2 linked regions of the Callithrix jacchus genome follow. The protein of the gene in region 1 purifies or fractionates together with the protein of each later gene. This does not show direct contact. Links are inferred from orthologs where the notes say so. Each region holds a gene or a part of one and is shown on either strand. Other genes may lie near its edges.

What was found. Proteins that work in one complex are often made in the same cells at the same time.
Region 2: the proteins of PRPF3 (region 1) and CD2BP2 purify together in Homo sapiens (affinity purification with mass spectrometry; 3 studies listed by BioGRID and IntAct, with this or other methods). This does not show direct contact. The link is inferred for Callithrix jacchus from reciprocal best matches to the Homo sapiens genes PRPF3 and CD2BP2.

The regions. Positions count from the first base shown.
Region 1 is NC_133519.1:10,253,477-10,257,221, forward strand, and holds part of PRPF3 (U4/U6 small nuclear ribonucleoprotein Prp3), read left to right. Parts: intron 1-1,586; coding exon 1,587-1,733; intron 1,734-3,745. UniProt on the Homo sapiens protein: Plays a role in pre-mRNA splicing as component of the U4/U6-U5 tri-snRNP complex that is involved in spliceosome assembly, and as component of the precatalytic spliceosome (spliceosome B complex).
Region 2 is NC_133513.1:29,873,078-29,877,140, reverse strand, and holds the start of CD2BP2 (CD2 antigen cytoplasmic tail-binding protein 2), read left to right. Parts: upstream 1-1,263; 5' UTR 1,264-1,398; exon of another isoform or gene 1,399-1,505; intron 1,506-1,836; 5' UTR 1,837-1,863; coding exon 1,864-1,941; intron 1,942-2,533; coding exon 2,534-2,669; intron 2,670-2,795; coding exon 2,796-2,953; intron 2,954-3,055; coding exon 3,056-3,491; intron 3,492-3,570; coding exon 3,571-3,677; intron 3,678-3,762; coding exon 3,763-3,873; 3' UTR 3,874-4,063. UniProt on the Homo sapiens protein: Involved in pre-mRNA splicing as component of the U5 snRNP complex that is involved in spliceosome assembly.

The DNA of each region.
Region 1 (3,745 bases):
ATACACAGATATATACAGTGATGATTATGTCACAATAGGGCATACTTTCTTTTTCTTTTTGAGATGAAGTCTTGCTCTGTCACCCAGGCTGGAGTGCAGCGGCGTAATCTCGACTCACTGCAACCTCCACCACCCAGCTTTAAGCAATTCTCCTGCCTCAACCTCCTAAATAGCTGGGATTACAGGCACGTGCCACCATGCTTGGCTAATTTTTATATCTTTAGTAGAGACGGGGTTTACCATGTTGATCAGGCTGGTCTCAAACTTTTTTTTTTTTTCTTTTGGAGACGGAGTTTTACTCTTGTTGCCCAGGCTGGAGTGCAATGGCGTGATCTTGGCTCACTGCAGCCTCCACCTTCAAGGTTCAAGCAATTCTCCTGCCTCAGCCTCTGGAGTAGCTGGGATTACAGGGATGAATCACCATGCCTGGCTAATTTTTGTATTTTTAGTAGAGACGGGGTTTCTCCATGTTGGTCAGGCTGGTCTTGAACTCCCAACCTCAGGTGATCCGCCTGCCTTGGCCTCCCAAAGGGCTGGGACATCGAACTCCTGACCTTGTGATCTGCCTGCCTTGGCCTCCCAAAGTCCTGGGATTTACAGGTGTGAGCCACTGTGCCAAGCCAGTAGGGCATACTTCTGTATGAGTGCTGAGGGCATACTGTGAGTGAAGTGACTACATTGGGTGGGATTAATAAAAATGGTTTCTTGAAGGAGGTATCTAGATAGCCTTGGGATACGGGTCCCATTTTTGGTCCATTCAAGTCCCCACCCCACACAATATATTATGGGAGAGTCCTTTTTCTTGAACTGTAGGAGTTCCAGGAAGCGCTCGCCCCTGGCTGAGGATATGTCCTTGCAAAACACGAGCCCTCCTAGTGAAGAGGGGATGTCACCCAAAGCCTACCACCGGTGTGTACATTTGCTTTTTCCCATTGTCCCTTCCAGTTGGCCACTCTCGGTCCTGTTAAATTCACCTTGCAAATTAGTCATCATATTTGAGTTCCCATTGTTTGATGAAAACAAGGTGTTAATGGGGATTACTGAAGAAGAAAGAGAAAGCCCCTTTCCTGGAAGAGCTTAGACTTAGTTGGGAAAACTATACTAACATTGAAATACTTAACACTTGGCAAACAAAATATCAACAATGTAATTTAACCTAATATGAACCAAGCTCTTAGGTGCTAAGACAATGTGAAACAAAAGTTTGATCAGAGTGGGGTGAGCTTATAATGAGGAAAACTTCTTAGAGGAGGTGAGTTTTAGGCAGGATTTGGAACAGGGGTTGTGGAAAAGTTGAGAGACATTATAAATGTGGGCAGTAGCATTTGCAAAGACCTTGAGATGGGAACATTTGTAAGAACATGGGAATGAAATTTGTTTGACTGGATTAGGAGAATGTTGAAGTTGGGTGAGATGGTCCACTTGGTGGAGAGTCTAGTAGACCCTGCTTCTGGCAGATAGCTATTTGCAAGGTTGTGTCATATTCCCCTGGGAGAAGCCAGAAAATGCTGGTAGGGGCTAGGATAATTCTTTCCTTCTCCCTGTGAGGAGGGATACAGCTTTTCTTTCATCTTGGGTTCCCTTAGGAGGTGTTTGGTGATGACTCTGAGATCTCTAAGGAATCATCAGGAGTAAAGAAGCGACGAATACCCCGTTTTGAGGAGGTGGAAGAAGAGCCAGAGGTGATTCCTGGACCTCCATCAGAGAGCCCTGGCATGCTGACTAAGCTCCAGGTTAGTAATTAAGGACTGGAAGCAAAATGGTTTTGTGAATTAAAAAAGCAAAGGGTGCATGGGTCTGTATTTATTGTGATTTCTTTTTTTTTTGAGTTGGAGTTTTGCTCTTGTCGCCCAGGATGGAGTGCAGTGTCACGATCTAGGCTCACTGCAACCTCAGCCTCCCAGGTTCAAATGATTCTCCTGTCTCAGCCCTCCTAGTAGCTGGGATTACAGGCACTCACCACCATGCCCGGCTAATTTTTGTATTTCTAATAGAGACAAGGTTTCACCATGTTGGCCAGGCTGGTCTTGAACTCCTGACCTCAGGTGATCCACCTGCCTCAGCCTCCCCCAAAGTGCTAGGATTACAGGTGTGAGCCACCATGCCTGGCTAATTTTTTGTATTATTATTATTGTTTTTTAGTGAGACAGAGTTTCACTATGTCAGGCAGACTGGTCTCGAACTTCTGACCTCAGGTGATCTACTCGCCTTGGCCGCCCAAAGTGCTGGGATTGCAGGTGTGTGCCACCTCTCCTGGACCTCTTGTGATCTTGATTTGAATTAATGTTTAGTGTTCCAGGAAGTCTTTTTTTTTTTTGAGACGGAGTTTCGCTCTTGTTACCCATGCTGGAGTGCAATGGTACGATCTCGGCTCACCGCAACCTCCGCCTCCTGGGTTCAGGCAATTCTCCTGCCTCAGCCTCCTGAGTAGCTGGGATTACAGGCACACGCTACCATGCCTGGCTAATTTTGTGTTTTAAGTAGAGATGGGGTTTCTCCATGTTGGACAGGCTGGTCCTGACCTCAGGTGATCTGCCTGCCTCAGCCTTCCAAGGTACTGAGATTATAGGTGTGAGCCACCAACCCTGGCCAACTTTGTACTTTTTTTTTTTTTGAGATGGAGTTTTGCTCTTGTTACCCAGGCTGGAGTGCAATGGCACGATCTCGGCTCACCACAACCTCTGCCTCCTGGGTTCAGGCAATTCTCTTGCCTCAGCCTCCTGAGTAGCTGGGATTACAGGCACCATGCCCAGCTAATTTTTTGTATTTTTAGTAGAGATGGGGTTTCACCATGTTAACCAGGATGTCTTGATCTCTTGACCTCGTAATCCATCCGCCTCGGCCTCCCAAAGTGCTGGGATTACAGGCTTGAGCCACCACTCCCGGCCCCTTGGACTATTTTTTAACAAGAAGTATTTGTGTTTTTTCAATTGGCATCGTTAAATAATTTTGATACCACATAAACAATAAGTGTTTCTTTTACCATTTAATATGCAAAGGGTATAATAGAACATATACATACATATAGATGGATGGATTTGCATATATATGCTATTTATGAAAGGAAAGAAACGGATGTTTTTTTTGTTTTTTTTTTTTTTGAAGAGTATCTCTCTGTCGCTCAGCCTGGAGCACAGTGGTCCAATCTTGGTTTACTGCAGCCTCCGCCTCCCAGGTTGAAGTGATTTTCCTGCCTCAGCCTCCTGTAGCTGGGGCTACAGGCATGCGCCACCATGCACGGTTAATTTTCATATTTAGTAGAGACAGGGGTTTCACCATGTTGACCAGGCTGGTCTGGAATTCCTGACTTCAAGTGATCCACCTACCTTGGCCTCCCAAACTGCTGGGATTATAGATGTGAGCTACTGTGCCCAGCCTGTTTTTGTTTTTGAGACAGGGTCTGTCTCTGTCGTCCAGGCTGGAGTTCAGTGGCAAGATCTTGGCTCACTGTAACCTCTGCCTCCCAGGCTTGAGCTGTCCTCCCACTTTGGCCTCCTAAGTAGCTGGGATTTCAGGCCACCATGGCTGGCTAATTTTTGTATTTTTTTGTAAAGATGAGGTTTTGCCATATTTCCTAGGCTGGTCTTAACTCCTGGGCTCAAATGATCTTCCTGCCTCAGCCTCCCAAAGCGTTAGAATTGCAGGTGTGAGCCACACGCCCAGCCGATGATGTTTTTCATGGAGAAAGAGGATGGAAGTACTCACATGTCCTTTTGTAATTTTTATTTATTTATTTATTTATTTT
Region 2 (4,063 bases), on another chromosome or scaffold:
CAGGAGTGGGAAGACATGATTTCTTTCTTTTTTTTTTTTGAGACGAGTCTCACTTTGTCGCCCAGGCTGGAGTGCAATGACGCGATCTCAGCTCACTGCAACCTCCGCCTTCCGGGTTCAAGCAATTCTCCTGTCTTAGCCTCCCGAGTAGCTGGGATTACAGGCTCATGCCGCCATGTCCGGCTAAATTTTTGTATTTTTAGTAGAGACGGGTTTCACCGTATTCCCCAGGCTGGTCTTGAACTCCTGAGCTCAGGCAATCCACCCGCCTCGGCCTCTCAAAGCGCTAGGATCACAGGCGTGTGCCACCGTGCCCAGCCCGAAAGCAGGATTCCTTTTTTTTTTTTTTTTGAGGTTGCCCAGGCTGGAGTGCAGTGGCGCAATCTCGGCTCACCGCATGCAACCTCCGCCTCCCGGGTGCTTGCAATTCTCCTGCCTCAGCCTCCCGAGTAGCTGGGACTAGAGGCGTATGCCGCCACGCCCGGCTAATTTTTTTGTAGTTTAGGAGAGACGAGGTTTCTTTTCTTTTCTTTTTTCTTTTGAGACGGAGTTTCGCTCTTGTTACCCAGGCTGGAGTGCAGTGGCGCGATCTTGGCTCACCGCAACCTCCGCCTCCTGGGTTCAAGCAATTCTCCCGCCTCAGCCTCCCGAGTAGCTGGGACTACAGCCGCGCACCACCATGCCCAGCTAATTTTTTGTGTATTTTTAGTAGAGACGGGGTTTCACCATGTTGACCAGGATGGTCTCGATCTCTTGACCTCGTGATCCACCCGCCTCGGCCTCCCAAAGTGCTGGGATTACAGGCGTGAGCCACGGCGCCCGGCCGAAGGCAGGATTTCTAGCGACACGGTAGGGGCGCAGAACCCTTCCCTGGGGGAAGGGTTACTCGAACCCAGGACAGGAAGACAAGAAAGCAATCCAGTGGCTCTGCTCAGACTTTGCTCCTAAATCCTGACACTGAGCGACCCTTTAAGTAGATGCGCTCCACTTTTTCTCCAGAGCCTCTACGGCTCAATGAGAGAATCAAAGCTACTTCCGGCCATTTCTCACGCCGGGTTAGAGTCTAGGAATTCTTAAGTCTCCTCTTTTCGCCACTTTCCTCCCACGCGACTGACGTCACTTCTGGCGTAAGAAAGGGTGGAGGTGTCTTCCCTCGCTCATCGCGTACTTCCGCCCGCTCTTCCAGTTGGTCCTCTGGCCGGAGTGAAGCCACTTCCGGCCTCCCCGGCGCATTCCTCAGTCCTCTTCCGGGTGATGGCGGCCGGGTGCCCCGGATGTAGCCCTGGCGCAAGCATCTCTTCTTTGCCGCCTCACCTCCAGCGGATCCCCAGGTGAGCGCGCGAGCGTGGGACCATCCGAATCCCCGTGGCCCTCTACTTTGTACGCAGCCCGGGACAGGTGGAGCTCACCACACGGAATTGGGAGTTCGGAGCAGGGAGGAACGGGGCGGCGAGGGCGCCAGGTCCTGGGTCCGCCCGGGCCCCGCGAGCTCCGAGAGAGCCTGGGTAGGAGGCGGGGGTCAGCCCGTCGAGCCTGGTGGTACCCAGACTGCGGGGGCTGGGTTTGGAGGTGGTCACATGGTGGAGCCTGTCTCCTTTTGGCCGGGGTCGGGGGATCCAGAGGGATTGCCCCTCCGTCCCCGCCCCATTTAATTCGAGGATGCCAGACCGAGTACCAGAGGCCTTCTGGCTTCCAGCTCCCTTTCCGCCCCTGCTTTTGTGCTCCCTTCCCTCTCAAACTGTACTTGTCACCAAGAAAAATGTTTGCTGTGCCGGGAATCCTCTGGCGGCGAGTCCCCTCCTCACCCCGTTCTCTTCCTCTGCATACTTTCCTCAGCTTGAGGAACACCTTCTCTGCCCTGTCATGCCAAAGAGGAAAGTGACCTTCCAAGGCGTGGGAGATGAAGAGGACGAGGATGATATCAGTGTCCCCAAGAAGAAGGTGAGGGGACCAAACTTCTTTGTGTGGGGGGAAAGAGAGGAGCTAGAAGCCTGAGGAGGAAGAAAGTTGGGAGGGGCAAGGCGGGCTGGCAGAGAAAAGCCTAGTTTTTCCAGGTTCACTGAGGAATGGATTGGGAGCATCTTCAGTGTGGGTCCTGAAATATTTGGGGAAGTAGGGCTGGGCACGGTGGCCCACGCTTGTAATCCCAGCACTTTGGAAGGCCAAGGCAGGCAGATCACCTGAGGTCGGGAGTTGAAGACCAGCCTGGCTAACCTGGTGAAACCCCATTTCTACTAAAAGTACTAAAAATTAGCCGGGTGGTGGTGGGCACCTGTCCCAATTAGTTGGGAGGCTGATGTGGGGGAATCCCTTGAACACAGGAGCCGGAGGTTGCAGTGAGCTGAGATCAGCCATTGCACTCCAGCTTGGGCAACAAGAGTGAACTCTGTCTCAAAGAAAAAAAAAAAAAGAAATATCTAGGGAAGCAGTTGAGATCCTGAAATATTTGGGGAGTATTTGGGTCCAGATCTGGCAGTATTTGGGGAGGTAGCCAGTAACCTGCATTTCTTGACTTCCTGGCTCCTGCTCACAGCTGGTGGACCCTGTGGCTGGGTCAGGGGGTCCTGGGAGCCGCTTCAAAGGCAAACACTCTTTGGACAGCGATGAGGAGGATGATGACGATGGGGGGTCCAGCAAATATGACATCTTGTCCTCAGAGGATGTAGAAGGTGAGCTGTACTCAAGAATACACTCTACTGAAGGAAAAAGTAGAGACCTCTGGTGGTGTGAGGTGAGGGAGGCCCCGGTCTCTTTTTTTTCATCCCCAGCAAAGGACACCCCTGTCTTTGGTGCAGGTCAGGAGGCAGCCACACTCCCCAGCGAGGGGGGTGTGCGGATCACACCTTTTAACCTGCAGGAGGAGATGGAGGAAGGCCATTTCGATGCCGATGGCAACTACTTCCTGAACCGGGATGCTCAGATCCGAGACAGCTGGCTGGACAACATTGACTGGGTGTGGCCAAGGGGCTGGCATGGCTGGGGCCAGGGAGTGGCAGAGCTGCTGCCTGCTCCCGTGGCAGTTTGTGGGAAATCACTCCCCTTCTTCCCATTACAGGTGAAGATCCGGGAGCGGCCACCTGGCCAGCGCCAGACCTCAGACTCGGAGGAGGAGGATGGCTTGGGCCAGACCCCAATGAGTGCCCAAGCTCTCTTGGAGGGACTTTTGGAGCTCCTGTTGCCTAGAGAAACAGTGGCTGGGGCACTGAGGCGTCTGGGGGCCCGAGGAGGAGGCAAAGGGAGCAGCAAGGGGCCCGGACGACCCAATTCCCCACAGCGCCTGGACCGGCTCTCTGGGTTGGCCGACCAGATGGTGGCCCGGGGCAACCTTGGCGTGTACCAGGAAACTCGGGAACGGTTGGCCATGAGGCTGAAGGGTTTGGGGTGCCAGACCCTGGGACCCCACAATCCCACACCCCCACCCTCCCTGGACATGTTTGCTGAGGAAGTGGCGGAGGGGGAACTGGAGACCCCAACCCCTACCCAGAAAGGAGGTGAGCTTGGAGGACACAGGAGGAGGCACTGGGCAGGAGGCAGACACTGGAGGCCAAATGGCTTTGCCTGTTATTTTAGAAGCAGAGTCGCCGGGAGATGGTCTGGTGGATGTGATGTGGGAATATAAGTGGGAGAACACAGGGGATGCCGAGCTGTATGGACCCTTCACCAGCGCCCAGATGCAGGTGAGCCGCTTTCTTCCTCCTTCTGCCTTGTCCCTGCTTCCCCAACTCCTGTCAGTCCTTCCCCAGCTCTGCCCTCTCCTTGCAGACCTGGGTGAGCGAAGGCTACTTCCCGGACGGTGTTTATTGCCGGAAGTTGGACCCCCCTGGTGGTCAGTTCTACAACTCCAAACGCATTGACTTTGACCTCTATACCTGAGCCTGCTGGGGGCCCAGTTTGGTGGGCCCTTCTTTCCTGGACTTTGTGGAGGAGACCCCCAAGTGTCTCAGGCAGTGAGGAAATTGGAGGCCATTTTTCAGTCAATTTCCCTTTTCCAATAAAAGCCTTTAGTTGTGTATTAGGGCCTTCGCTGTGCTGATGGCCGGAAGCCAGAGGTCTTCTCCACAGC